Nothobranchius furzeri: one gene and its partner. The protein of the gene in region 2 binds, or shares a complex with, the protein of the main gene of each other region. Links are inferred from orthologs where the notes say so. Each region holds a gene or a part of one and is shown on either strand. Other genes may lie near its edges. The genes, in order: ciao2a and ciao1.

Region 1 (11,718 bases), on a different chromosome or scaffold from region 2:
GAACATGGAGCAAGCCTTAGCCGTTCCTGATGATGTATCTCCTTGGCAACTGGGATGGGACCAGGGCATCAAGGGGTGGTTCCTTGACATTGAGAAACACCCCATGTTTGGGTAGAGCCCTTATTATTCTCCCCTCGTGTCTGTCCTTTCCAGTCTGTGTGTTTTGGAGCATTAAGATCTTGATTAATTTGGTATTTAGCTGTGGAAATAAACAACCACCATCAGTGCAACCCTCATACTCATCCAGCATCTAGGAATTCTTATAGTACATATTGATGAACAGATTTTATCATGTTGAACTCTGTTAGATGTCATTCGAACAATCAGAGACCCAGAGAAGCCCAACACCCTGGAGGAGTTGGAGGTTGTGACGGAACAATGTGTGGAGGTCCAGGAACTTGGAGACGATGAGTTCCTCATTATAATCCGGTTCTCTCCAACCGTCCCTCACTGCTCTTTGGCTACACTCATTGGTGAGTCCCTCTGCTGTCAACCTGTCGCAGACATCCCAGTCAAACACTAAAAATATAATTCTCTAAAGTCTAAACAGTTAGAGAAAAGAAAAAGTAGAATTGTTGAGTTCAAGTTTCCTGACTTGTTGATAAAGACCTGGCGGTTGATCCATGGCTCCTGGGGATCGGCAGGGCTTAACTTGAAAATTCCAGTTCATGACATCCTGTCATGTTTCAGGCAGAATTAAAGCAGCTGCTGTGAGTTGGAGCAAAGTTGGAGTTGGGTTAAAATAAACTCTGAAGTTTTTTTTTTATTTTAAACTTTTTGGATGAGATGGGATAAATAAATAACAAGTACAGAAAATAGCTAAAAGTCCACAGTCCCATCATTTCTTTCAGGGATTCATCGCATACATAAACAAGTAGGGAGTTGGTTAACAAGCTATAAGATCAACCGTATAACTGATCATTTAAAGACCAAGGTCACTCATTTTTTAACACATGCATTGGTCTCTATTGTAGATTAATTGATCTCTGTCGTGAGTTGACCTCTGTGGGTAAAATGCTCTGGCGTTCCTGTTTCAGGAGCTAGAATTTAGCCACAGCAGAGTTAACATTCAGATGACAGGATCTGGAGGCTTTTCCCTGATATTCAGACATCTTGCTTCTGATTGGCTAGCAGCAACACAACTCTACCACTGACTCTGTTCTGCATTGATGGTTTATCTCCACAAATAACACAAGCCTGAAGAAGTTCTGCCATGTTGTGATGTTGCTAAGGCTAACAGTTAACTTCCACTAGCCAAGACATGCTCTGCTCTCTCCTGGATGGTAAACCAACAACAACCTTCCTAGTCATGAGTAGGGTTGGGCATCATTTCAATTTGAACGATTCCGGTTTCGATTCCAATTCCTTGTTCCAGTTCCGGTTCCATTCAATTCCTAATTCAGATTCTTTCAAGAGGCAGAATCCAAAACGTCAGGGGTGTGGGGGATCAGCTGCTGCCTTTCCTACCCTGATGCAGGACTTCAGGACTGAGTTTGAAGCTATTGCTTCTGTGACAGGACCTAGGTTGACTTTAATTTCAGACCCTGGTTGTTGAGTTTTAAATGAGACCTGTTTGTGGTCCATCAGTCAGTTCTAACTGGTAAATGTGAATTATTCACTCTGTTTTTTGTTGAACTCTTCACCTCTGTCTCCCATGTAGAGCTACAGCAGGCTGATTCTGTCCGGGACTGATGCTCTTTTTTCATGGTTTTGCAGGTTTGTGCTTACAAGTGAAGCTCCAGCGATGCTTGCCATTTAAACACAAGGTAAGCATCAGCGTGACTAGGACTGAGTCAAAGCAGCCAAGTACCAACAGCCCCCTGGTCGGCCAGCCGTGTTATTTTACACTTTGATTATGGAGGGTCGTCTCCTTTTAAAAAGGCAGAAGAGGGACGTAGTCTTTGTTTACAATCTGTACTGCCTCCATACATCCTGGTTCTTGAGCCAATCATATGCGAGTCTGTGGGTTCTCCAGTTCTGTGTCGACATATGTAATTTGAAACCAGCCAGCAAAAAGCAGCAGCAGCATCGTGGAAAGTTTTTTAACCAATAAAAGGAGTGACCCAGAAGTCGTTGCTTGTACCCCTAAGAAGCCACGGCATCCTTTTGTTTTACTCTAATATCGAGGAAAGAAGGCTGTAGGCTAACATTGAGCCAACAGTGAATTAGGAAAAAAGTGGTCGGCTCTAAACAACAACGCGAGCTAATTTTTCAGTTACCAACAACTAAATATTTCTTACTGTGATTCGTCATCTATAATCTTCTATTTCTGATCAGTAACTGGCTGTGGTTGCTAAGAGTGGACTCGTTTGTTTTGAAACATGAACTTGCTCCTTTCTGGAGCCAGCCCCAGTGGATGAAGGGGGAACTGCAATTTCTTTCATTTCCGTGTTGGCGTTACTTTTGGCAGGCGGCGTGTGCCCCTTGACCCATGCACAGGAACAAAAGTAAACGATTGGGTGTATTTCCAGTCATTTTTGGTTGTAATTTGACTTTTCAAAAACGACTGTAATAATGATCTTGTATTCACTTATGAGTTGGTATTCTTTCTCTTTTTAGTTGGAAATTTACATTTCAGAAGGAACCCATTCTACAGAGGAAGATAGTAAGTTTTTGTCTTTTATTACAGTAGTGGGGGTTTGTTCTGTACTGCATAATAACAAAACCTATTGTTTCATTGTTGTTGATGAGGGCTGGGCAATAAATCGAAAATGTATCGTTATCAAAATTTCTGACTCTTATTGAGATAATTTTTTCCATGTCAATAAATTTGATAATAGTAAATGAAAAGCTGTGTGTAGGTTGGCAACATTTATGTCCCTTTAAGAAGCTGTACCACATTGAGTCACGTAAAAATGTGACTCATCGTAATCATCGTAAACATGTGACAGCCCCATCTAGCGGACAACTTTTGTTTCTGCGCAAACCTGTAGTTATCTTCCGTTTATCGTTATTTAGGTGAAATCCTTAATATATGGTGATATTGATTTTAGGCCATATCGCCCAGCCTTTATATATATGTGTGTGTGTGTGTGTATATATATATATATATATATATATATATATATATATATATATATATATATATATGTATGTACATATACATACGTATTTATATATGTAGATATGTATACATGGATATGTGTATATATATATATATATATATATATATATATATATATATATATATATATATATATATATATATATATATATATAATGTATATAATGTATATATATATATATAATGTATATATATATATAATGTATATGCATATATATATATATATATATATATATATATATATATGTATGTATGTATGTATGTATGTATACCGTAAATCCTCTAATACAGGCCGGTATTCAATTAAAGGCCGGGTCTCCAATTTTGGCTGGTGCCGGAGTCAGCGGAGGTGATTAATGGCCGGTCTCTTATTGTGGCCGGGTGGAATGTGGTAACAAGCAAATATGAGTGTCTCAGCGGCAGGGTTATAGTCCCCAAATCAACCAGTAGGAGGCAGTAGAGGTTCACACAGACCTTTATTAGGCTTTTTCTTCAACGCTTTTTAATGCTACAGACACGATCCTCTATCACGCTCCTACCACACAGAGTCACGGTGTCAGTTAACCATGCTAATTCAACCCACTCCACAGAACACACATCACCTTCCCTGTGGCTTACATAACACTCACACAACACGCAAATCAGCACATAGGAACTAGCAGAATGATAGGAAACACATATAACACAATACCCAGAATGCACCTGGCTTACAACCCCAGCCAGGTCATTACACTATCAAGTTCAAAGAGAACATGCTGATTATGCTGCAGAACACTCTGGGGAGCAGTAGCAGGGGTTGTATGAACTAGTCGACTTCACTATAGTGACTTTTTATGCCTGTCGTCGACTAGTCGCTGTCACGTGATAATGACCGGCAAGATGCAGCCCTCGGAAAAGACAGCAGCCTGCTATCAGCAGGTGACCAGCTCCTGCGCTCAGGGGGGCAACGCACTGTGTCAGAGCATAGGTACTGACACGCGATCGTTCATGTCGGTTCATTTCCTTTAATGTTTTCTGTCTTTTATTTGCGCCTGATGTGTTTCGCTGCTGTGGAGCGGGGCACATCACCTTGTCCTCCGACTCACAGATCACTGATGCGGCCGCCAAGCAGGGAGAGCTCCGCTGTTTTCGCGGTCGGTAGATCTGCCTCCTGAGCACGGCCACAATCAGGTGTCGCCACCTCAAAAACTAATTTAACACGCGATCGTTCATGTCAGTTCATTTCCTTTAATGTTTTCTGTCTTTTATTTGCGCCTGATGAGTTTTGCTGCATGCTGTGGAGCGGGGCGCTGCGCGCATCACCTTGTCCTCCGACGCAAATTCCACTACCTCCGCTCCGCTCCGACACAAACGCCGGAGCAAAATCGGTCCCGTTGTAGTCAATCAGAGCAATTCCACTACTGCGGCCGTGCTCCGGCAGTGCGGCGCCGTGCGCCGCCCTCTGTTCCGGCGTCCGGCAAAAATAGAATCGATCCTATTTTCGCCGGAGCACCTCCGCAGTCAATGGACAGAAATCACAACTGCCCAACAGGAAAAGGAGCAAGCACAACTTCCTTTTTTCACAATAAATCGATAAACAAAAGGCGTTTTTTGTTTCATATGCACAGGTTTAACAACTTTTAACAACTATCAATGGCGGCTGAACTTTAAATGCACAAAAATAAGCCATAAATACAGTTTCTACTGTCAAAGTAGTTGCCCTTTGTTGATCCAAACTCTGCTGATCTCTCAACACAAATGATGGGCAGATTAAACAGTTCATTATATGCTTCTCCCACACAACGGGTGTTTGGATCTAACTTCCGCGTTTATTGCTCGGACTGTATGATACGGCCGCCAAACAGGGAGCGCTCCACTGTTTTTGCGGTCGGTAGCTCTTTTAGAACTGCAGTTCAAAGGTAACTCATGAGGTGAATATATATGAACCCAGGTAGCAGTTTCTCTTTAGGATTGAGAGGAGATGCAGGAAGATAATAAACAGGCAGGACAGAAAAATAGTCAAATAAAAACAAGTTAGTTTTTGTACCTGGTGGTTGCAACAAACAGACACCATTGAAGGTAATCAGAAGTGAGGAACAGAAAACGAAATAATTATTTTAATGTTTAGAGCAGCAGGAACTCTGAGAGGCTGCAGGCGCATCAGTGAGTTTGCAGCCGCTGCGCAGGGGGAGGGGGGAGGGGGCTGAAGCAGGAACTACCGTTGTTAAAAGAAATGTGTTTAACTTTGAAAATGTGGGCGCAATTTTAATTGTCTAAAACTCCAGTGAACCATTAGTTCACTTTGCTCAAATAGAAATAGAGGCCTGCCTCTAATACTGGCCCTCCTTCCAATAAAGGCCTGGAGCTTGATGAGCTTGAGTCAAATACAGGCCCGGGCCTGTATTAGAGGATTTACGGTATATGTATATACATATACGGTATGCTTGAGTCAAATACAGGCCCGGGCCTGTATTAGAGGATTTACGGTATATGTATATACATATACGGTGAATATGTGTATATATATATGTATATGTATGTATATATGTATATATGTATATACATATATATACACATATTCATATATATATATATATATATATATATATATACATATATATATATATATATATATATATATATATATATATACATATATATATATATCACGATAAGAGTCGTCTCAAGGCACTTCACATAATAAGCATTCCAATTCAGGTCAGTTCTTTAAGCCTATGAGAAATAATGTTTCGTATATAAGGAACCCAGCAAATTGCATCAAGTCACTGACTAGTGTCAGTGACTATACAGCAATCCTCATACTAAGCAAACATAAAGCGACAGTGGAGAGGAAAACTATATATATACATGTATATATATATATATATATATATATATATATATATATATATATATATATATATATATATATATATATATATATATATATACAGTTGTGGTCAGAAGTTTACATACACTTGTAAAAAATATAATATAATGGCTCTACTGAGTGTCCCGTTATTTCTAAAACTGATTTTTCTCTGATGGAGTGATTGGAACAGATACTTCTTTGTCACAAAAAACATTCATGATGTTTGGTTCTTTAATGTCTTTATTATGGGTTAACAGAGAAAAGTGATCACATTTGCTGGGTCACAAATATACATACAGCAACATGAACTAGCAATTTTGGTGACAGAAACGTGTCAGTGAACTGAGCTTCATAGCATGGCCTCTTAACTTCTTGTGAGTGATTATGAGTGACTACAGCTGGTGACTTCTCTTAGGCCAGGTAAATAGGGCTCATTGGATACAAACGCCCACAAACGCTACAATGGGAAATTCAAAGGAGCTCAGCATGGATCTGAAAAAGCGAATTATTGACTTGAACAAGTCAGGAAAGTCACTTGGGGCCATTTCAAAGCAGCTGCAGGTCCCAAGAGCAACAGTGCAAACAATTGTTTGTAAGTATAAGGTGCATGGCACTGTTTCATCACTGCCAAGATCAGGAAGAAAACGCAAGCTATCACCTGCTGCTGAGAGAAAATTGGTCAGGAGGGTAAAGAGTGAACCAAGAATCACCAAAAAGCAGATCTGCCAAGAATTAGAAGCTGCTGGAACACAGGTGTCATTGTCCACAGTCAAACGTGTTTTGCATCTCCATGGACTGAGAGGCTGCCGTGCAAGAAGGAAGCCCTTGCTCCAAAAGCGGCACCTTAAGGCTCGACTGAAGTTTGCTGCTGATCACATGGACAAAGGTAAGACCTTCTGGAGGAAAGTTCTGTGGTCAGACGAAACAAAAATCGAGCTTTTTGGCCACAATGCCCAGCAATATGTTTGGAGGAGAAAAGGTGAGGCCTTTAACCCCAAGAACACAATGCCTACAGTCAAGCATGGTGGTGGGAATATTATGCTGTGGGGCTGTTTTGCTGCCAATGGAACTGGTGCTTTACAGAGAGTAAATGGGATAATGAAGAAGGAGGATTACCATCACATTCTTCAACATAACCTAAAATCATCAGCACGAAGGTTGGGTCTTGGGCGCAGTTGGGTGTTCCAACAGGACAATGACCCCAAACACACATCAAAAGTGGTAAAGGAATGGCTAAATCAGGCTAGAATAAGGGTTTTAGAATGGCCTTCCCAAAGTCCTGACTTAAACCCCATTGAAAACATGTGGACAGTGCTGAAGAAACAAGTCCATGTCAGAAAGCCATCAAATTTAACTGAACTTCACCAATTCTGTCAAGAGGAGTGGTCAAAGATTCAACCAGAAGCTTGCCAGAAGCTTGTGGATGGCTACCAAAAGCGCCTAATTGAAGTGAAAATGGCTAAGAGACATGTAACCAAATATTAGCACTGCTGTATGTATATTTGTGACCCAGCAAATGTGATCACTTTTCTCTGTTAACCCATAATAAAGACATTAAAGAACCAAACTTCATGAATGTTTTTTGTGACAAAGAAGTATCTGTTCCAATCACTCTATCAGAGAAAAATCAGAGTTTTAGAAATAACGGGACACTCAGTAGAGCCATTATATTATATTTTTTACAAGTGTATGTAAACTTCTGACCACAACTGTATGTATATGTGTATATATATATGTATATACATATACATACATATTTATATATGTAGATATGTATATATATATATACATATATATAAATGTATATACATATACACACATATATATATAAATGTACATATAAATGTACATATATATGTAGATATGTATATATATATATATATTATATGTTATATATAAAACAAAACAATAAATTCATGACTCCGCATTGGTTTCAAACACATGTATTAGAGTTTTGCTGCTACCACCACTTCCCCTCTCAGGCTGCCCCACAGCCACGCCCCCTCCCGCCTTGCTGGCTCCTTGAAAACAACTTTGTTTTTTAACTCTGCTAGCCCAGCTGATTCAGCAGTTTGTTTGTGTTACTGATTTTTTGGTGCTTTTTCACTAGTCTCATGTTCTGAGTGGTGAAAATGATTAATTTCTCCAGTTAATAAACAGATCAACGATAAGGAGCGGGTGGCAGCCGCCATGGAAAACCCCAACCTGAGAGAGATTGTGGAGCAGTGTGTCACTGAACCTGATGACTGAAGGGCCCAATGCTACATCAATAACTTTTTTAAGTGCGTGTGCATGAGTGAACACATGGAGGAGGTTGGATGCTGGAATCAAGTCCAGCCTTTAAAGACAGCAGCACCAGTTGTTGCTGGTGAACAGCCTGGTGTTCCAGAAGAAGGTGAATAAAGGAAGAAGAGAACACACCTCCTGCTCTACTTTTATCTCTCAACTTTCTCTCCATCATTCCTGCTGTTCACCATTCATGTTTAATCAGAACAGAATAAAAATGGCTGTTTTTCATTGCATTGACTCCTATTAGATCTTTTGTAATTCCTCAGGTGATTACCTCTAATTTGATTTCAGAGTCTGGATGTTTAGGATGGGGTTTTATAAACAGAAATGAAATGCAAATAAACTCAGAATAAAATAATCAGGTTTGAATATAATCCTGTCTCCTGTGTATTTGAATCAGAGTAAGTGTTTCAGCAGTGCTTCCTACAGATAAAACGTTATTTTGCACACATCTTAGGTTTATTTATTAAGCACTTTTAAGTGCTTCTCAGACAAGAACAATAAAACTGATACAATGATCTTAGAAATAACTATCTCACACACACCCATTAACATCACTCTTAACCATATAAAACAATATAACATTAATGTCAACATATATTTTCTCTGAGTGCACACACAAACACTGATTATACCTCCACAGTAATATTTCATACAGGTCACACGAGCTGTAATGAGCTTTTAACTATCAAGTACAAAATGATACCAGCCAGGTTTTAGTTTGTGTACCACTCTTCAAAAAGCTGATTTGGATTGGCTGCATGTGTCACTGTAGCATCACTTGATCTCTACATTTATGGGATGCAGTGTGTTGATGGATAAAATAATGGGCAGATGAGATGTGTGTCCCATCTCATACAGACCCCAAATAAAAGAAGGTGGTATGAGACTGACTCCAGCGGCTCAGAGTACATGTGTGATTATGCACAAAATGTCATACCATCTTTTAAAATAGCAGGGCTGGATTTTGAGTTTGCCAATATTGGTGTCCCCCTCTTTTTGCCCCTAAAGTGATTTTGCAGGTATGAATCTCACACCGGTTGTTCAAAGTGCATATTTGATTATGTTCAGAATAGGGATGCACAATATATCTGCATCAATATCGGTATTGGCGGATGTTAAGTCATTTTTTAACTTATTGGTATCAGTCTGATAAGTAAAACTGGGCCGATATTAACAACTAATATTTTTTCCATCTAGTTTCAGTTTGTGTATCTGTTTCAGAGGATGAGGGGGGTGCTGATGTGTTATTGTTTATTCATGTGACAGAGATGGTAATCATCTCAGAAACATATGACAAACACACACACAATCTAGTTTGCACTTTATAGAAATAAAGCAAGACATTAAAAAATTCAGTTTGCATAATTTTCAGTCAACAAAATCTGCTGATTTCACAAGCATAAATGTCAGTGTGTGTATGTATATACATATCGGTATCAGCAACTAGTGGTTATGGACCATAACAGCGATATTGTTATCGGCCCAAACATTCCTTATCGGTGCGTCCCTATTTTATAATATACATCATCCACAGACTTCTCCCCTAACATAGGTGGCATTTTGAGTTTGCCAAACTGGCATCTTAACTAGATGACGTGTATTTTTATAACTTATTTAATATCACACTGTGTAGTATTTGTTGGTTGTCAATAATAACACATGCTCAAATGACAGGAGCCCAGAAATATTGCAAATTTTAATAAATAAATAAATAAATATACGGATCAATTATTTTCCATGGGGCCCAAACTCCCTAGCAGCGCCCTTGCATCTGGGTCAGGTCCTGCTTGTAAATGAGAACGTGATCTCAAACATTACCCAGTAAAATAAAAGCTCCCCGCCCCAGGTCATATGAGCTCATATCCACAATACCCTCGTGATCTTTTCCAGTTTTCAGTTGGTTTATCCGGACTTCACTTCGGCATATCTAGGTTATTTATTTCTATACAAACCAGGAAGAGGATGGTCACCGTTTGCGCATGTGCAATGCGACCCACACGGACGTATAGCGCACGCTGGGTAGAGAGGCCACGATGCTTTTACAGTCTGTGGTAATCCCGGGACCTAAACGTGAACCGTAAACCTCCGGTGCTGACGGAATCACTGAACCCGGATAGTTCGGTAACAGAGATGGCCTGCAGCGCCCAGGACTCCACTCTAATCGGTCTGTGTGATGGACAGTTGGACCCGAAGAGACACCGGTCCTCATTTCTGACGAACAAAGTTGGCGGAGAACCGGACTGGCCTCCGGTCTTCTCCCGGTTGTCCCCCCGCTGTGGTCTCTGCGGTGGCCTTTCTGTCCACGTGGTGCAAGTATACTGCCCCCTGCAGGCCTCTCCGTACCATAGAACCCTGCACCTGTTCGCCTGTCCCCGCCCGGACTGCAGCGGGCGGTCTGAGTCCTGGACGGCGCTCCGGTCTCAGAGTCTGGAGGCTCCCGGCCGGCCGGGGCCACTTCCAGCGCCCGCTCCGCTGGTGTCAGACTGGTGCGAGTCCGCTGATGACTGGGGAATGGAGGATGGTTTTGATGGGTGGGGAGGAGGACCGGACCGGATTCAAGATCCGCAAGAGCTGGGAGGAGGTAGTGTTTGTTTGTTGGTGTGTGTGTGTGTGTTGAGGAGGTAGTTTTTTTTAGTTGAAAACGGTAATGTTAGAACCGATAACGACCCTTTAGGGTTGGGTTGGCTCGAGCCAGCACCTCTGACAACATGTAGAAGTGTTTGTTTATTTATTTGGCAGACGCTTTTATCCAAAGCGACTTACAATTTATAACCTATAGGGCATGTTGTGATCTGTGGGGGAAACCGGAGTACCCGGAGGAAACCCACACATGCATGGGGAGAACACGCAACTCCAGGCAGAAAGGCCGCAGCCGAGCCCAGTATCGAACCTGCGAGGCAACAGTGCTAACCACTGTGTCACCATGCAGCCATAGAAGTGGTCAGAACCATGTCCATCTGAAAGGTCTGGGTATGCCTAATGTTCTTGGTTCTTCTACCTCCAGAGGTGCCTCCAGTCTGTGATGCTGACGTCAGCCAGCAACTTCAGCACCTCTGCTTGTCAGAATCAGGAGACCCACCTGTCTTCTGTCCGTTCTTCATTAATGTGGTGGAGGAGTCCGACCTGTATGGAGAAGATGAGGAGCTGGAGCATGCTCAGGAGCTGCTCAGAGACTATGAGAGGAGGGAGAAGATGGAGGTGGGGATGCTGGAGGAGAGCAGCTGCAGCATTGAGAAGTACGAGAAGACCGACGCCAAACATGGAGACGCAGCGTTCTCCAGGTTTATGAAGACCATCTCTCTTTGCCCACAGCAGATCCTGCGATACTGTCGAGGTGGAAAACCCGTATTTATCTCCAAGCCACCATCCAGCATGGCTCAGCTGCTGTCTGCATGCAGCTCCTGTGGAGGATCCAGAACCTTTGAGCTGCAGCTGATGCCAGCTCTTGTCCATTACCTGCAGAGGAAGGACAGGAGCTCAGAAGCAGAGCTGGAGTTTGGAACTGTGTTGG
Region 2 (17,626 bases):
TAGAGATTCCTTCTGCTTTAGATAGAAGGACTCTTCCAAAAATAGTTAGGTCTCATGTTAGCCATCTACTGAGAGAATATTTCATGTTCGATATACAATTAGAGATGTTTATTTCTTCTCTCCTTATTGTGTTTTTGGTCATAACTATACCTAGATATTTCACTTCGGTTACCACCCTTATTGAATCTATCTCCGATTCATTGCATGAATGAACCGGAAGTAATTCACACTTGTTGATATTTAGAAACAGTCCTGAAGCCTGGGAAAATAACGAGATGGTGTTGAGGGCGTGCACTACCATAGATTTATCTTTTAGAAATAGGGCCGTATCATCAGCAAATTGGCTTATTTTAAATTCCTTATCAAAAATATTTATGCCTTTTAAATTTTGGTCTTTTAGGATTGCAAGCGCTAACAATTGTGTGGTCAATATGAACAGTTTGGGGGAGATTGGACATCCCTGTCGAATACCTCTTTCAACCTCAAATCTGTTGGTCATTCCTGGGTTAAGAGATACATAACTAGAGATATCGGAGTAAAACATTCTTATTATTTTGCAAAATTTGTCCCCAAAACCCAAGTGATGTAATGTATCTAACAGAAAGGGATGCTCAACCGTATCAAAGGCTTTACAGAAGTCTAGGAACAAATTCAAGCTTTCAGATTCTATCAGCTCCTTATAATCAAGCATATCAAGGATTAACCGAATATGATTGTGTATATTTCTACCCTTTATAAAGGCTGATTGATATTCACCTATTAGTTGGGGTAAACAATTGTTTAAGCGGTTAGCATATACACGGGCCAGTAATTTATAATCATTACATAGGCGCTGTGGAGAGGGTGAGCAGCTTCCGTTTCCTTGAAGTTCATCTGACTGAGGATCTTACGTGGTCAGTGCACACGGAAAATACAGTGAAGAAGGCACAGCAGCGCCTCTTCTTTCTCAGAAGACTGAAAAGATTTGGCATGAGCCACCGCATCCTCAGGACCTTCTATCGCTGTGCCATTGAGAGCATCCTCACTGGATGCATCTCCGCCTGGTATGGCAACAGCACCGCTTACAACCGCAAAGCTCTCCAGAGAGTAGTGCGGTGTGCAGAAAGGATTATTGGAGGTGAGCTTCCCTCCCTCCAGGACATCTACAGGAAGCGGTGCCTGAGGAAAGCAGGGAGGATCATCAAGGACTCAAGTCACCCCAGCCATAAACTGTTCAGACTACTTCCATCAGGAAGGAGGTTCTGCAGCATCCGGTCCAGAACCAGCAGACTGAGAGACAGCTTTTTCCATCAGGCCATCAGACTGCTGAACATGGCGCAGACACCTCACCCTCACTACTGAAACTCCAACATTACACACTCCATACTGTACATTAATGCCACTGTTTTGCACATACCAGCCTCTGTACATTTTATATCTCTTATCTTATTGTTTACTTTATTCATTTGTATACTTAGATTAGCCATTTTTATATTTTATTTGTTGTTACATTACTGTATTTTTGCACAACTCTGTTGCTGTGAAGCTCGCACACAAGAATTTCACTCGCATGCACTGTACCAGTGTACCTGCACATGTGACGTGACAATAAAAGTGATTTGATTTGATTTGATAAACGCTAGAAACCAACCTTATAAACTCCAGTTGATTTATTACTTTACCTCAGACTTCTACAGGATGGACATACATTGTGAAATAAACAGTATTCATTTGATTTTGATTGACTTCTCAATATTCTGTTTTATTTGGATTAAACTGAACAAAACTTAATAGTAAATGTCTGCAAATGAAAAATACTGAATTGTGTCATGCTCATCTTGAAAAATTGTTTGAAAGTGGATGAAAGATGTCTAAAAACACCCAAATTATTGTCTGTCCTCCAATAAACCGCGAATAAAACACAAGTCATGTGCTCTTTACTAAAGCTTTTCTATTATTCAGGTAATATTTCATCACAGTACAGCAGTGAATACTGGAAGTTGCCAGCATTCATCATTTCTTCTCCAGGGGTAACGCCTCCTCACTTGGTTGACAGACGCAGGATGTGTTTGACCATATTTCCAATCCCATCAAATATATAGTGGTAGTGATAGTCTGTTTCCCACATGAAGGATGGAGTGCTGACCACTTTGTTCTTCTCGTCCACATAGGCTTCGTGAACGGAGGAGTTAAGGCCCAAAGCAGATGTTAAATCAGGTCAGTTTTTAACTCACATCTGTCAGAAACAGAGGCCTCTGAAAGGATATGTATGGCTCACGGACATTGTGGCGAGCGCCCATGCTCTTCACGGTCTGCACCATGTTTGTGTGAGGCCAGTTGCCCCAGCGGGTGTTCTCATCACGTTCGTAGCCCATGGTCACCTCAATGCTGGGCAGAGCACGGCAGGCCAGCACAGGAGCCATGCTGGCCAGGCTGAAACAAAGAATTAATAATAAAATCTCTGTTATCTATTTTATTCAAATAAATGATAAACATGGGTCAGAAAACTTAATGAATCCCCATGTTAGGTGCTTGTTGGCCCCTTGAAAGGAATTTCAAAAAACGGACAATGATTGCTGTGTCACTGACAATAAAAAGGCAATGTGATGGTTTGCTAAATTATTTTTAAGTCATTCATTGTATAAATTATTCAGTAATTTAGCAGAAATGAATAATAAATATGAGGCAAACTGAGGAGAAAATCTAGTCAGGAATGGTTAAAGGCAGAGAGGATTGCTGTTCTGTTTTATATTTCATAAATAACAATAAAAACAACTTTTGACAGAAATAACAAGACAACAAGACTTACAGCTGTTCTCATGCTGAATAATGTCCAGATAATGTGTGTATGTCACATTTAACATTTTACTTTTCTCTTATATATTTTATTTTCAGAAAGATCATTAAATAAAATGTATTACCTTGTAATAAATATTTCTGTATATTACTTTTGTTTTGTTCACAAACTCTATCTTCCATAGAAAGAGGCCAGCAGAGGCCAGCATACTCTTTAAACCTCTGTTGTCAAGGTAACTGCCCCTCCCCTCCTCCTCACCATCCTGCTCCAGTTTTCCTGTAATCCCAAATCACCTTCTACCTGGAATATTCTACTCTTCACCTTTCACTGTCGGCAAAGTGTCTGTTTGAATCTGCCTGAAGCTCTTGTTCCATCTCTTTAACTCCAAATTCAATAACACAATGTCTGATCTCAAGGCCACATACTGTAAAATAAAAATAAAATAAAATAGAATAAGATTTATTAAATTTAATTTAATAAAATGAAATTAAATTAAAACAGAAAACATTTTAAGAATAAAGAAGGGGTCATCTTCAGGTAAATCCAGAACATTAAAGGTAAAATATTGATAAAAAAAACTTGTGGAGACAAGCTGCTCATTGAGGATTTGTACTTGGGGAAAACATTTCACTGCGCTGCTCCACGGGTTGATTTCTAACTTTAAACTCTGAATATTTGCACCGTTTTTAAATTTACTCACAATGATCATCTCATTTTAACAAAACACTTCTACAAAGGTGCATTCAAAAGCAGCCAGACTCCTTTTTGATAAAACGAAGAAAATAAATAAATAAATAAAAGAAAACAAAACTGAGACAATGGTTCTTGGTGGCTCCACTGAGACCCCCAACATAGAAGTTGGTTCTCTGGCCCGGTACATTACGCCAACCCGTACTAACCGTGGGGTCATACTGGATGCTGGACCAAAGTTAGACAACCACATTAGATCAGTTGTTAAGTCTAGCTTTTTTCATTTAAGAAAGCTGGCAAAAGTAAAGCCCATCCAGTCCCAGAAGCATTTTGAAACAGTAATCCACGCCTTCATCCCGACTCAGCTGGACTACTGTAATGGTCTGTATGCTGGAATAAGTGCACCAGTATCTCTTAGCTTTGGAGAGTACAAAATGCTGCTGCTCGCCTCTTAACAGGCACAAGGAAGTAACATCTCCCCTGTTATGGCCTGTTTGCACTGGCTGCCTGTGCCTTGCCTTACCTGTGTGACCTGCTACACCCATACATCCCCTCTCGTTCCCTCAGGTCAGTGGGTCAGCTGCTCCTGACTGTCCCAAAGACAAAGCGTAAGCCTCGAGAAGATCGTGCCTTTGCTTTAGCAGCTCCTAGATTGTGGAATGAGCTTGCTTTAAATATCAAACAAGCCTCTTCACTGTCAAAACCCACCTCTTCTCTCTGGCCTTTGACACTACCTGAGATGTTGACTTTTAACTAGTTTTAGATCATTTTTACTATTATTTAAATGCATTTTACTTTGATTCAACCAAATTGTAGTCTGCTCAGCTTATTGTGTTAACTCTTTGGTTGTTTTATTACTCTACGTTCTAGGGTTTTATTGTTGACTGTTGTTTTTATTTGTTCTGTCTACAGCGCTTTGGTCCTGCGGGTGTTTCAAGTGCTATACAAATAAAGTTGGTATGGTAATAAAGAAATAGTTAGAGAATTTCGACACCTTTTTACTGGCGTTGTTCCTACAGGTGAAGGAGTTTGTCATTCTTCTAAATTGTTTCATCACTAACTTTCTCCTTCAAAACGTCAATTGACTCCTCCTCTTTCTTGGCATTAACAGCAAAAGGGATTAATCTTGGGATGTAAGCAAGAAGTCAGCATACACTTTAACCTTCTGTTGTCATGGCGATCCCCTCCTCAGCATCCTGCTCCACTCTTCCCTGTAATTCCTGTAATCCCACACCTCCTTCTACCCGGAATCCTCTATTCTTCACCTTTCACCCTGTGCCCTTTCACCTGACCTTGTCACAGGTCGCCACGGTGACTGCTCATCACCTCATCCATCCGGCTAAGACCAGTCATTTTGTAGCAGATCTCATTAGGTTGGACCGTTTGTGTAGGAGTTTTTGTTTTGCCCAGCCTGCCTTAAAGGATTTGTCTGCTTTCAAGTTGCCCAGGATGAGCTTAAAAGCACTAAAGGCTATTTTTACTACTTCTGTCCTACTTGTTGTCTGCTACGCTCAGAAAGAGCCAATATGAGGAATTTAACCTTGCAGCTTCAAAAAGGCAACAGCTGATCTGACAGTTTATGAAGCTCTTTATAAACAAACAGTATCAGCTGCCAAGCAAAGCCATCTTTAATATCTATTTGGTGGAAGATAAATCAGATTTTCCATGTGTAAACAAAAAGGTGTTGAGATGCTTTAGGTTTTGTTATACTAGAGTAAGCTTCTTTAATTGGCTCAACAAACTTGGGGGGCAGCAGTTGGGCTAATGGTCCTTTTATCTTTCTATTATTTCTTTAAAAATAAATGCTGCATAAAACAACAAGATCTGGCCATTGATTAAATCTACAACATACATGATTTTACTCGTGATTATGATAATATCATTAATCATTTAGTGTGATTTCTCACAGCCTCTCATGGCCTAATTCTATTATGAGGATTAATTAAAGCTTCTGTGTTCACCTGTAGTTAAGGTGTCATCAAAACAAATAAAAATGTCAAGAGCAGACCCGTGTTTGAGTGAAAAAGGTTCATTTCGAGCACATTTTTAGCACTTCTGTTAATCTTAATGCTGATATTTGGTACAATGACCAAATGATACGTACCCAATGGGCTTGCGTGAATGGTGGAAATCTTTAAGAACTCGTTCTACGTCATTGTGCAGCTTACAGTCTTTGCCATCCTTCATAAAAGATGATCTAAAGGTCAGGAATTTTGCAGTTAGTGGCACATTATATGTATATATATAAAATAAACACAATTATTTTTTACATTTGAAAACTCCTCACAGGTTCTTGATGATCCCATGACCTCCAGGAAAGATGACAGCATCAAAGCTGTTGACATCCAGAACGGACAGGTCCTGCATTTGCATCTTTCCCTGACCGTGACTGAAGCGAGCCGACTCCATCATCATGTTCCTGATTACAAATGTGTTAACATGTGATGGGGGTTAGGTCAGGTCATTCGGCTTTACGTGCAAAATGTAATCAACGGTCTCCTCAGCCCAGTGTGAGATTCCTACCGGTTCTCCCCTGAGAACGGCTGCTTTTTCATGTGATCCATCACATGCATCTGCTGCTGATTCGGAGCAAACATCTGGAAACGAGCTCCGTTTCGGCTCAGGTGGTACATGGTGCTGAGGAGAAATTTGTCACCATTTCTGTAAAATTACGCATTTATACAAATGTAAAACAAAATCCCTGATGTCCTGATACTCACTACACTCCTTCATGGACATCAGTTCCATCCCACCATCCACATCCTGAGAAAACCTAGAATACATTGATGCACAAAATCAGAACAGTTCTCCTCTTTTCATGGGTCGTGTAACAAGGAGTCAAACTTACCACTGCAACATTGGTGTTCCCCCAGGTGCCATGGTCACCGTGGTGAACAAAGCAGGCTGGCTGGCGAGAGAGAATTGCCAGTGTCTGTTTTGACAGCAAAGTCCTGGTTGCCAGCATGTCTATGATCAAGTCTCACTTTTTGAGAAGAAAAAGTGTAAGTGAAGAGTTTGCAACCGAGCCTGTGAAGACCTCTGACGGCACAGACATTTACCTCTCTGAGGACATCTGTATAAATACGTGCGGTCAAATGACGCTCCCACATTAGCTCCATTGTCTTTTCACGTCTTGACTTGTTCCCTTCCTGAACACCCTTCCCTATTAATACCTCTTTAATTCTGATTACCTTAAAGCATTTGGCCACAGGGCAAAACTTTAGCCTCAATATCTTAACTCGTTAGGAATTTGGCACTTGATGAGTCGCATTGGTTGGGAAACTGTTCAACACCATTATGCAGGCATAGTAGTATGCCATATGCCCTTTAAAGTCCATTAGGTTGTAAGACTCTTACTCTCTGTAATGCCGTGTTGAGTCTAGACAGTAATCCAGAAATACCTTTGACAGAAAGAAAACTAACATTTATAGTAAAACTGCACATTCCGTTTAGCAGGAGTCAAAATGTAGTTATAGATGAGCAGCAAGAAGCAAAATATGGCATTTATTTTATTATGGCCACTTTATGTAGAAACAATCGCTATTTACACATCAGTGAGGAGAGCACAGTGAGGAACAAAATGTAGAAAATGATAAAACAAAGTGCAATCAACTACAATCATCACACCAGCCACACGTTTAAGCCTCAGGAAGAACCTTGTGATGAGATTCTAGCTGATTATTTTCAAATGTGCATCCACCACAACCCGTAAACAGAAGACATTTACTGAACTTGTCATGTATGGTATTCACAAGGTACAAACAAGGTTTATTTTTAATAAAATACAATAAACATAACACAACCAAATTAGGATGTGAGGTTTGTTGCTGTAGCAGAACACCCTCTCTCTTCACCTGACTCACAACACAGCCAAAGACATTTTTTAAAAACGCCAAAGGCCCGCCTCACATTTTTGGAAATGTCCTTATTGTTTCTAATACAGAGGTGAACAGAGAAGACTATGTTAGTGACTAATGTCTGCAAAGCAAAAGATAGAAGACAGCACACACAATAAATAAGGTCCATTTGCTTTTTTATATAAAATAAACATTTAAAACAATCTTGTCAGTGTACGTGTACATCAGCATTTATGATGTATCAAATTAAAATGCTGTGTTGTTTTAACAAAGCCCCATCATAGCCCTGTAACTGCAACCACTGACAACGTGCTGAAAGTTTGTTTCAACAAAAGCACTGATCAGGCTGTGGCTACCCCCCAATTTCTTCTTATGAGCAGTTTAATACTCTCTGCAGTTAATTTATCTTTACATGTAAGGACCAGATCCTAAAAGCCATTTACATGCAAATCACTAACCACTTCAGTGGGGAAAGTAAGAAATATCTCCTAAACTGCTGTCACCACTAAAGAAAGATTCCATGCACCCAAGCACTGTTATTCAAGGAAGCTGTGCACTAATGTGCACACGCTGTGTTTAATGCCAAGAAAATCTGCAGCAGTATCCGTTTGCTTAAAGAGTGTGGTTTTGCACATCGAGCAAAAAGCTGAGCTGAGAGAGAAATGTGTATGCAAAGGCAAGTCTGGTTGGATTAGGGTGTGTAGGCAGGTGGTGGTTGAAACTGATTAGCAATGTCATAATCAGCAGGGAAATTCTCACTGCTATCCTCCATCTCAGAGAGCAGCTCTAAGGCCTGCTCTTCCTCTTCAGTGGGGTAGTGGCGAAGAAGGTTTGCAGCTGTGGCGAGGATGGATGCTCCACCCGCACCTGCCACCAGGTAGAAGCTGATAGCAAAAGTGACATATATAAGTGAACCGTGGTACTTCTTGTGCTGCTGCTGAAGGGACAAGATCAGCTCTGAGGCCCAGTAGCAAAAGCCTATGACTGTGGCACACTGCAACACTAGAAGGAAAAGGAAGTCTGTTAGCACAGGTAAATATGCAAAATGTTTTGTGTGTAAATGAAAGGTTTGTACCTGTGAGTATATGGGCAAATGCATATCTACGAGTGATCTTTAGGGCAGGGTGTTTCGGTCCAAACACATCTAACAGAAAAGCAGTTAGACTGCATAGGATGCCCAGGAAACAAAAGGCAGCTATGACCCTCAACAGCAGGATGGTCTGCGGGTTCACACAGTAATCTGAGGATACAGAAACGTCAAAACAAACAAAAACCATTACGAGTCAAAACAATGATCGATAATTGCTGGTTGTAAAGTAATTGTGCAGGTTCTCACCATCTAGAAGCTTTGGATCAATGTAACCCAAGACATCCGCAACCCCCAGCTCCTGCCTGGGACAGGCGCCCCCATGAACACGCACCCAGGCCGGCTCAGCCAGAGCCGTACACAGCGCTGTGATGGACAAAGCTCCGGGCAGCGCTGACACCAGGCTGCGCTCCGGCTGCTTGGGCAGGGAGGTGGCAGTTCTTCTTCTCCGGCCACCAGGTACGGTAGAGCCCGGCGGAGCATACATGATTACCAAATCTCTGTTTTTGTAGGAAGTGTTGGTTCCCTTGTCTGTCCTTTTCCTTAAGGTTTATAACTGGGATTAGCCGCCTGACACAGCTGTCAGTCGGTACAGCTGATTTTACCTGTAGTGTTAAAGGATGATAGCGGTCCAGGCGACTTGTTAGATGAAAGATATACAATACTTCCGTACGAGAACCAGCTGCTCGATAAAAAAACAGGATCTGGCTGACGAGGAAACAAAAGACAGATGGCCTTCAGGCCTGTTAGCTGTACTGTTAGCCCGATTAGCTAATTCGCAGTAAACGTCAAATATAATAAATTCTTATGACAGGATTAAAACGAATACAAAAAAAACATATAAACGCCAACCTAGAACCCAATCTTTACAACAACAATAAATAAAAATATATTGTTTTAGTTACAGAAAAACAAACAGAAAACAAAACAAAAGACAGCTTACGCTGGTTTCCTCTAAAGCATTGACTTCCTGTTTCCACCGGGTTTCGTCGTAGCTACAGTAGAACCTGTGATCACTAGCCCCACCTACCGGTTAAAAAAACTACACAACGATGAAAACTTCTCTGCATTTACCATAGACTTTAAATCTTATACATAAATCTCGCTTTTTTTATGAATAATTATATATTTTATTACGACAACTGAATTTGTTTCCGTTTATTTAAAAAAAATATATTTAAGTTTGTTTTTAAAGGAAGACGGAAGCCCACAGTGTGCACTTCCGATAAGCAAAGATGGCGGCACGTCAGTTGTGGATGTTTCTATGAACTTCTTTAATTTGCTCTTTATTGCAAGTTAATTCCTTATCTTCTCAAAATATGTTAATAGTGATAGTGGCTCTGCTGCTTTGATGGGTTTTGTTTGAGTTTCTTATCGGATTTTTCTGGGAAGGAAAAGACAAAAGTGACGAGACCTGTTAACTAAATATTTAATAGTCATTAAGTCAGTATGAAGGAGACTCTCACGCTGCTTCACAGGCTCAGCGCACACCCGGACTCTCGGTGTTGGTTTGTCGCTTGGAGCCCAAACGGGACTCTGCTGGCTTCGTGTGGCGGGGACAAGGCCATCCGGATCTGGGGACGCGAAGGTAGCCTGTCATCTCTTTCTCTCTCTTACACACACACACACACACACACACACACACACTCTGATTATTAGTTATCTGTTGGTAAAATAATTAATCTATTGACCTCGGTGACCCCCTCTATCCGTAGGAGACTCCTGGGTTTGTAAGAGTGTGCTGGAGGATGGACACCAGCGCACCGTGAGGAAAGTGGCCTGGTCTCCATGTGGAAATTATTTGGCCTCTGCCAGCTTTGATGCAACTACATGCATCTGGAAGAAGAATAACGAGGGTTTTGAGGTTAGATGAGACCTCTGTTGTTCAGTGGTGTGATTAAAAAAGCATTTAACCGTGAACTTGACACATTTGTAAATGTCTTTATAGAGTTTGACAGTGTTGGAGGGACATGAAAATGAGGTCAAATGTGTGGCGTGGGCTCCATCAGGGAACCTCCTGGCCACATGCAGTCGAGACAAAAGCGTTTGGATCTGGGAAGGTTTGTGTTTATTTACACATGTAATAAATACAATTTGATCAGATCTGGTTAATAGGTGTTTTCCCTCTGTCCCACAGTGGATGAAGAAGATGAGTATGAGTGTGTCACAGTTCTAAACTCTCACACACAAGATGTTAAGCATGTAGCGTGGCACCCGACCCGAGAGGTAGACTCAGATCTGTAGACATTATCTCCATCTGTAGCTCCATTCTCATTTTTGAGGTTATTGTCTGTTTCCTCAGCTCCTGGCTTCGGCCAGCTACGACAACAACATTTGTATTTACAAGGAAGAAGACGATGACTGGGAATGTCGCGCTACTTTGGAAGGACACACCTCCACCGTCTGGAGTTTGTGCTTTGATGCAACTGGACAGAGGATGGCGTCCTGCAGCGATGATCGCACTGTGAAGATTTGGAAAGAATATCCCTCTGAGAGTGGTCAGTAGTTATGAACAGTAACACCGAAGCCATTTATTTACAAACAAATCCTTTTTTTTACCTGCTCTGTATGTTGAAAGGTGACACGTCCTGGAAGTGTGTTTGCACTCTGTCTGGGTATCATGGACGAACAGTGTATGATGTGTCCTGGTAAGACTGAACTTCTATCAGTGATCTGAATGAATTACCTTCAAACTGACTTAAACACCATTTGTTCAGGTGTCCGCTGACTGGCGCCCTGGCAACTGCCTGCGGTGACGACGCAGTTCGAGTTTTCAGAGAGGACGTGACCTCTAATCCAGAAGAACCTGTATTCTCGCTGGTTGCTCAGGTAACCAAAGCTCACAACCAGGACGTTAACTGTGCTTCCTGGAACCCGAAAGAAGCTGGAATTCTTGCCTCCTGCAGCGACAATGGAGAACTTGCCATTTGGAGGTTCAAAGAAGACTGATTCAGTGACAAATGCACCGAAGTGCTTTTGGTTTTAGATCTCATACTGGGAACTTTATCTTTAAGGCACCACATCTGTTATTTCATGGCTTGATTAATCTCGTTTTAATTTTTGTGATCGGAAAACCGCTGCAGCTCATCTTGTACACTTTTTAAAAATGGCTTAATCAAACATGTTTATGAATAAATACAAAAACACAAGACTGTGTGGTTTCATTTTAATAAAAAGAAAAGAACATGCCAGACAATAGATTCTTAAAAACATGTTTACTAATCTAGGGAAAACCATTTTACATCTGCAATGTAACTTTAGACATAATCTGAAACCAAATTGTTGCATCTTTTATTTTAAAAAGCAAACCTGACAAGAAAAGTACAAAATTATGCTTCCCATATTTAAAGCAGTATTGTCAGTGGATCCAGCTGAATCCAAAACATGCATTTCATTTTTAATACGGAAAACAGATCCTGCACACCAATTTTGGACTGTTTCATCAATCGGGTCACTAAAAAAAACTGACATACTTTGGGCAAAAGTGAGAAGTTTAAATTCAAAGAAACAAATCAGGTTGAATATCTACAACACACCCATTGATTCCCTCTCAAATGGAGACAACACAGTATTCAGTAAAACTTAGTCTGAGTCACTTTCTCCCTCGCTGTCGGCCTCCTTCACATCCACACTGAACTTGTACTCCTGGTCACAACCCATGTACGCATCACTCATGAAGTACAGGGTGTAGTGGTGAACGCCCACTGCAGGTGCAACAAAGTCCAGCTTCACCTGTGGAGGAAGTACAGAAGAAAACAGGAAATGAGGCCTTCTACTGGGAAGGGGAGAACATTTCTGCTGTATTACACCGACCTTTGCTTTCTGCTGAAGAGTCAGCCTCTTGATGGAGATGAGGCTGTTAGACTTGGGGTCTCCAATAACGACCCACCAGCCCTCCTCACGTTTCTGCAACAACAAGAACACGTCACCACGATCCACTTTTACACACCGCTGAAACAAACGGGATCTTTGGTGAATGACGGAACAAACCTGAGGGAAGAGTGGCGCAATAACCGGACCAGTCACCTCCTCCTCTCGCTCCAGCTGCACCTGAACCAGAACTGAACTGCCGCTAAGAAAAACAAGTTCACAATGTTAACCGATGTTAATCGATTAAATTGATCCTCAACCGTAAAACTTAATTATGCTTTCAAAGCTTACATAAATAAATCTGCTGAGAAACACAAACCTTTTGACATTGTCCCTCTCTGCTACTTCATAGGACAGCTCGATGTTGGGGTAACGGTTACAGAAGCGAGCCACATCAGCCATCTGGCTGTCTGACAGCTGCAGCAGACCGGATCTGTCCTCATCCTCCATTTCCATTATGTCAAAGATACTGTCCACACCCTAAAGAGAGCAACAAGGGATGTTTTCATCTACGTTTGCTTCATTCATAACCAAATGTTAATACCAACTAACCTTGTCAGTACAACGCTTGATGTGTTCGGAGGTAAAGTGAGGCAGCTGCTTCAGATACGAGTCCTTGGACCACATGGCCTGGGTGACCATCTGGGCCAGCTCCATAGCGGCTAGAGCGGGACTCAGCCAGCCGTTACTGGACAACACGTCGACGCAGGCCTGAATCAGACGGATCGCCTACAAACAAACGCTCTCGTCACATAAAACACGCTGGGATCAAATACAGAAACGTGGCTGAGTCACAGCAAAACATAGTATTCAGGGATCTGAACCTTGCTGAGGATGTCTTCGGTGTCCGACTGGAGCTCAGCACTCAGCTGCATCCTGGATAGGTGAGCTTGCAGCAAAAGGTTTGTCTTCACATGGGGGTCGTTGAACTTCGGATTGTTCAGTTTGTGGGGCACTTTCTGTGCCAGCTGAAGGAAAAAGCAGCTCAAAGTTAAAGATGTTGCAGCACAAAAGGCACCTACACACTGGGTCAGTACCAGACCGGAATTTGGTTTCACACCTGGGTAGGGCTGGGCCTAACCCAATTTATCGTTATTGAAATTTCTGACAGAATTTTTCCCATATCAATAAATTTGATAATAAAAAAAGAAAAGATGTGTATAGGTTGGCAATGTTAATGTCCCTTTAAGAAGCGGTACCACCTTGAGTCACGTAAATATGTGACTCAACGTAAAACATGTGACAGCCCCATGTAGTGGACAACTTTTGTTTCTGCACATACATGTAGTTATCGTTCATTTATCGTTATCGAGGTGAAATCCTCAATATATTGTGATACTGATTTTAGGTCATACCGCCCAGCCCCACACTTGGGCCACTTATGAGTTTTCTGTTCTGAGGTACCTCTTTTTTTCAGACCTCTTTCTCAAAGGACCGACTGGGACCGAGGTGACACTACGGACTGATTGGCTGACTGAAATGATCATCTACTGCCTCAAGTAGAATCAGCCAGCAGGGGGTTTACGCATGAACATCCTGGATGTTGTTGAGTAAACATCTCAGTCTGTAGCACAGAGCTCCCGGAAGAGAGAGTCGTGTATGTCCTCTGAGCAGCGAACATCTCTGCATGAAGCTCTTGCTACAGCTGCTCAATGGATGGAGAGAGCAGCGAGCGTGTGTGTGTGAGTGGAATTTGAGGACATGCACAGCAGTGAGAGAACAGGGAGCACATTAATAAAAGAATGTGCTTCGGTGTCTCCAAAAGCAACACAGCTCACACCTGCCTTTGCTTATCTTAATAAGAAGGACACCACCAGCGCATTTTAAACGCCGCCCACGTGCTCGGGGATTTCTGCATTCTCGAGAACTCCTTCGGGAACACTACACTGCCCGTATGAGACCCAACTGACGCTATCCTCCCACAACCGTACTGACCCTAAAGTGTAAGCGGCAAAAGACGCTACTCTAACGTGGACTTGTGTCGGTGTGTTTACCTGTCGGAGGAGCATGTCCTCGTGGTGCCTGATGGGAATGTTCTTATATTCAGCTGCGTTAGAGATGATTTCAATTAATCCTCGACTCTTGGTCTTGGCATTCAGGGACATGCTGAATAACTCTGTTGAACAACAACAAAAACTTTGCTGTGAAGTCTGAGGTCCAGGAAGCAACATAAACCCCATAGAGAGGTGAGTGTAGCTACAAACCAATGGTGGTGTAGTTTATGTAGTAATAAGCTGCGATCATGCCCAGATTGAGGGGTGCAACATCCATCTCGTCCTCGATGCTGATGCACTTGGACTGCTCCAGGTCATGTAACGTGTTCTCCACCAGCTCAGACAGGTGGTCAGACAGGTGGCGATGGGACATGCCTGCCACAGAACATAAGACTCAACAAGAAACCCCTAAGCCTGGTCTGGTCAAGTGTGATGTGGTCTCTGCCTTAAAGGATGCTAACCCTGCAGGTTGTAGTAGTTGGGGTTCTGCGTCATACGGCGGTAGAGGAACGTCCACGTCAGGTAGTCCACGGCGTCCTGCTTGTTCTCCACCGTCTTGGTGACGATCTCAGCGTTAAAGTGGTCATGAAGACAGTGATCCAAGTGAGACTCCACTGGCAGGGGCTCGTACAGGAACTTCTTGAAGAAGTCCTACAACAAAAACAGATAACCTGTTTAGTTCAAGTATTTTTACAGTAATTGCTTTTAAAACAAAACCAACGCATGTTCGCACCTTCTTGGAGCCCTGACACATGATGACACAGCGTCCCTCATCATCCAGCATGGGTCTGTTTGCCTTTCCCACCATCTGGAGAACATCATATATGGGATAGTCCACATATCTGAGAGAAATGAGAGAACGTGTCATCAAAACAGCACATTAAATTCATTATTGTAGACATTTTTTCAAGTCAACTTAAATCCTTACGCATGGATTTTTCCATTGTAGTATTGGGTATCCATGACGATGACGAGGTGTGCAGAAACGCTGATGCCCCAGCAGAGCGAACGTGAAGACACCACCACCTGAATGGCACCTGTACAAGAAAGAAACCCCTTTTCTGGTTTGTTTCTCAGCTCTGAGCGACCCAGGTGTAAAATAAAATTCATACCCGAGTTGAAAAGCTGCTCCACGATTTTGCATTCAGTTGCAGAGAGGCCCTCATGCAGGTATCCCACGCCGTTGGCCAGAGTCTCTTTAAGAGTCCCGTCGTTTATCTTCTCAAGGAACGGAGTCAAGTCTTTTTCGTTACAATGCAAAAACCTGATAAGACCAAGAATTTTTCAGAACACCAAGTAGAATAATCTCAAGATCAAAGACTGATGAGCTGTGACCGTACAGTCTATGGCTGTGACTGACCTCTGAGGAACAACATCAGCAGCACAGAAAGTGAGGATGTCGATGGCGGTGAGGCGGGTCTGCCTGCGGGACGGGACAAACACCAGCACTGGCTTGGAGGGAGAGTGCCTCATGATGGCGTGGTACACCGGTTTGGCCATGGACAGCAGGCGAGTCTGAGTGTGGCTGACGTTGAAACCCTGCAGCAACAAGGCGACAGGAAGTCAGGAATCTGGAAGGTGTTTAAATAGTTCTTTCCAATGGTAAAATTTGTGCAAAAGCTTTTCAGACCTGGATGTGCAGCTCAAGAGGAACAGGTCTGACATTGGGGTGGAAGTTGAACGTAGCTGTGGTGCTGCAACCCAGCCAGTGGGCCACATCTTTAGCATTGGACAAAGACGAGCTTAGGGCCACGATGCGGATTGGACGCTCGATTTGAGAAGAGATGTATCTCATCCTGGAGCAGATGACCTCCAACACAGGCTGATGAAATAAACAAAACTCCGTCAACATGCTTCACTAAACACAGAAACAGCTAAAAATCAGCTGAGCAGGATGAGATACTTACTCCGTTTTCTCCTCCGATGAGGTGGGTTTCATCCACAATGAAAAGGCTGACATTCTGCACATTCTTTCTCTGTTTCCAGCGACGAGACAGGATGTCCCACTTATCAGGAGTGCTGACAATAATGTCCCCCTTCCCCAGGAGCTTCAGATCTGTGCTGGTCTCTCCGGTCAGCAGAACTACCTTTTTGTTCAGAATGTCCTGGAACTTCTGGTGCCAGTCCACGAACACCTGGGAGACGAGGATCATGGTATTGGATAGGAACATTTCCTGTGTTGTATCTGACATAAATGTGAAAACAATGCTAGTTTTGATGCACAGACTCCTTACCTGCTCAGCCAGCGCTTCCATTGGGGTGATGTAAACACAGCGACCTTCTGCGCTGTGCAGTAGCATTCTCAAGATAGCAAATTCTGCACAGATGGTCTTTCCACTGCCAGTCGGAGCTCCCACAAAGACATTATCATCACTGTTGTACAAAGCATTGAAGACTGCAAGAAAAAGAGAAGTATGAGTGAAGCAGAGTGCACTGATCAGAAATGCCAGCGTATAAGGAGTCTTTGTACCTTGTGTCTGAATGGGGTTGAAGAAGGGGAACTTGTTTTGATAAAGAGCCTCAAAAGCTGAATTCCTGAGAGCGGTGACAGGCAGTGGCTGCAGATCCAGCAGCTCAGTGGGTGGGGGGTACTTCTCTGGTAGGATAAGATGGCGGAAGGATACAGGAAGCTGAGTCTCACAGGCTGAGGGAAAAAACAGAAGAACGGTTTTATAAAAAGCACAAACATCAGGAAAGTCCTGCAAGATGCTGGAATTAAAAGTTACTTACAGAGCCATCGGTCTGAAACCACACGGATAAAGTACTGAGGAGGCAGAGGCTCAAACACCGGCACAAAAAACGTCACCAGGTGCTCGTCCTGCGCGTACTTGGCTTTGAGGAGGAAGTACTCGTGGTGGAGGATGACCTCACTGTCCACGTCCTCAACCAGGATCCAGAAAGCTTCAGAAGATCCGTGAATCTAAGTAGGACATTTTAAAAATAAGAACAAACAAGAACCTAGATCAGAGTCGAGTCATGTGCATTAAGTTTACTGACCTTATCATCCCACTGGAAGTCTGGCGTGACAGTGAGCTCCACTTTGAGCGTGGAGCGAGTGATGGGCTGAATATGCACAGCCAGGTCCAGTTTGGGGAACTGGTGGACGTATTTGTGAATGGTCTTTCCCATTTTTGGCATTCGGATCAGCTCACCTGAACAATGAGGAACATGACGAGGTTATGAAAGGATAAGCAAAAGTCGTGAAAAGGAAAAAAAAAAAAAAAAAAAACCTCACCAATCTCATTGTGGTTGAGATCATAGAGCCGCTCAAACGGGAAGTTTTTCTTCTCAATCTTCTTCACGACCTCCTCTGGGAGCTTCTTGAACTGCCGCAGAGGAGACATGGACTGCC

Evidence for each region.
Region 1: ciao1 (region 2) and ciao2a share a complex: the UniProt entries of both Homo sapiens proteins name them as parts of the CIA complex. The link is inferred for Nothobranchius furzeri from reciprocal best matches to the Homo sapiens genes CIAO1 and CIAO2A.

The regions. Positions count from the first base shown.
Region 1 is NC_091744.1:55,346,258-55,357,975, forward strand, and holds the end of ciao2a (cytosolic iron-sulfur assembly component 2A), read left to right. Parts: intron 1-308; coding exon 309-473; intron 474-1,716; coding exon 1,717-1,766; intron 1,767-2,559; coding exon 2,560-2,605; intron 2,606-8,064; coding exon 8,065-8,165; 3' UTR 8,166-8,578; downstream 8,579-11,718. Other genes in the region: pdcd2l (programmed cell death protein 2-like), read left to right, coding at 10,338-10,788, 11,212-11,718. UniProt on the Homo sapiens protein: Component of the cytosolic iron-sulfur protein assembly (CIA) complex, a multiprotein complex that mediates the incorporation of iron-sulfur cluster into extramitochondrial Fe/S proteins.
Region 2 is NC_091757.1:37,102,371-37,119,996, reverse strand, and holds ciao1 (probable cytosolic iron-sulfur protein assembly protein ciao1), read left to right. Parts: upstream 1-9,622; 5' UTR 9,623-9,859; coding exon 9,860-9,998; intron 9,999-10,125; coding exon 10,126-10,274; intron 10,275-10,358; coding exon 10,359-10,470; intron 10,471-10,547; coding exon 10,548-10,636; intron 10,637-10,712; coding exon 10,713-10,908; intron 10,909-10,988; coding exon 10,989-11,058; intron 11,059-11,127; coding exon 11,128-11,359; 3' UTR 11,360-11,559; downstream 11,560-17,626. Other genes in the region: gatd3l (ES1 protein, mitochondrial), read right to left, coding at 2,021-2,155, 2,247-2,412, 5,571-5,663, 5,754-5,885, 5,990-6,103, 6,187-6,239, 6,315-6,431; tmem127 (transmembrane protein 127), read right to left, coding at 8,015-8,325, 8,399-8,563, 8,660-8,897; snrnp200 (U5 small nuclear ribonucleoprotein 200 kDa helicase), read right to left, coding at 11,993-12,142, 12,224-12,316, 12,401-12,482, 12,600-12,760, 12,833-13,009, 13,105-13,248, 14,275-14,396, 14,485-14,649 and 12 more. UniProt on the Homo sapiens protein: Key component of the cytosolic iron-sulfur protein assembly (CIA) complex, a multiprotein complex that mediates the incorporation of iron-sulfur cluster into extramitochondrial Fe/S proteins.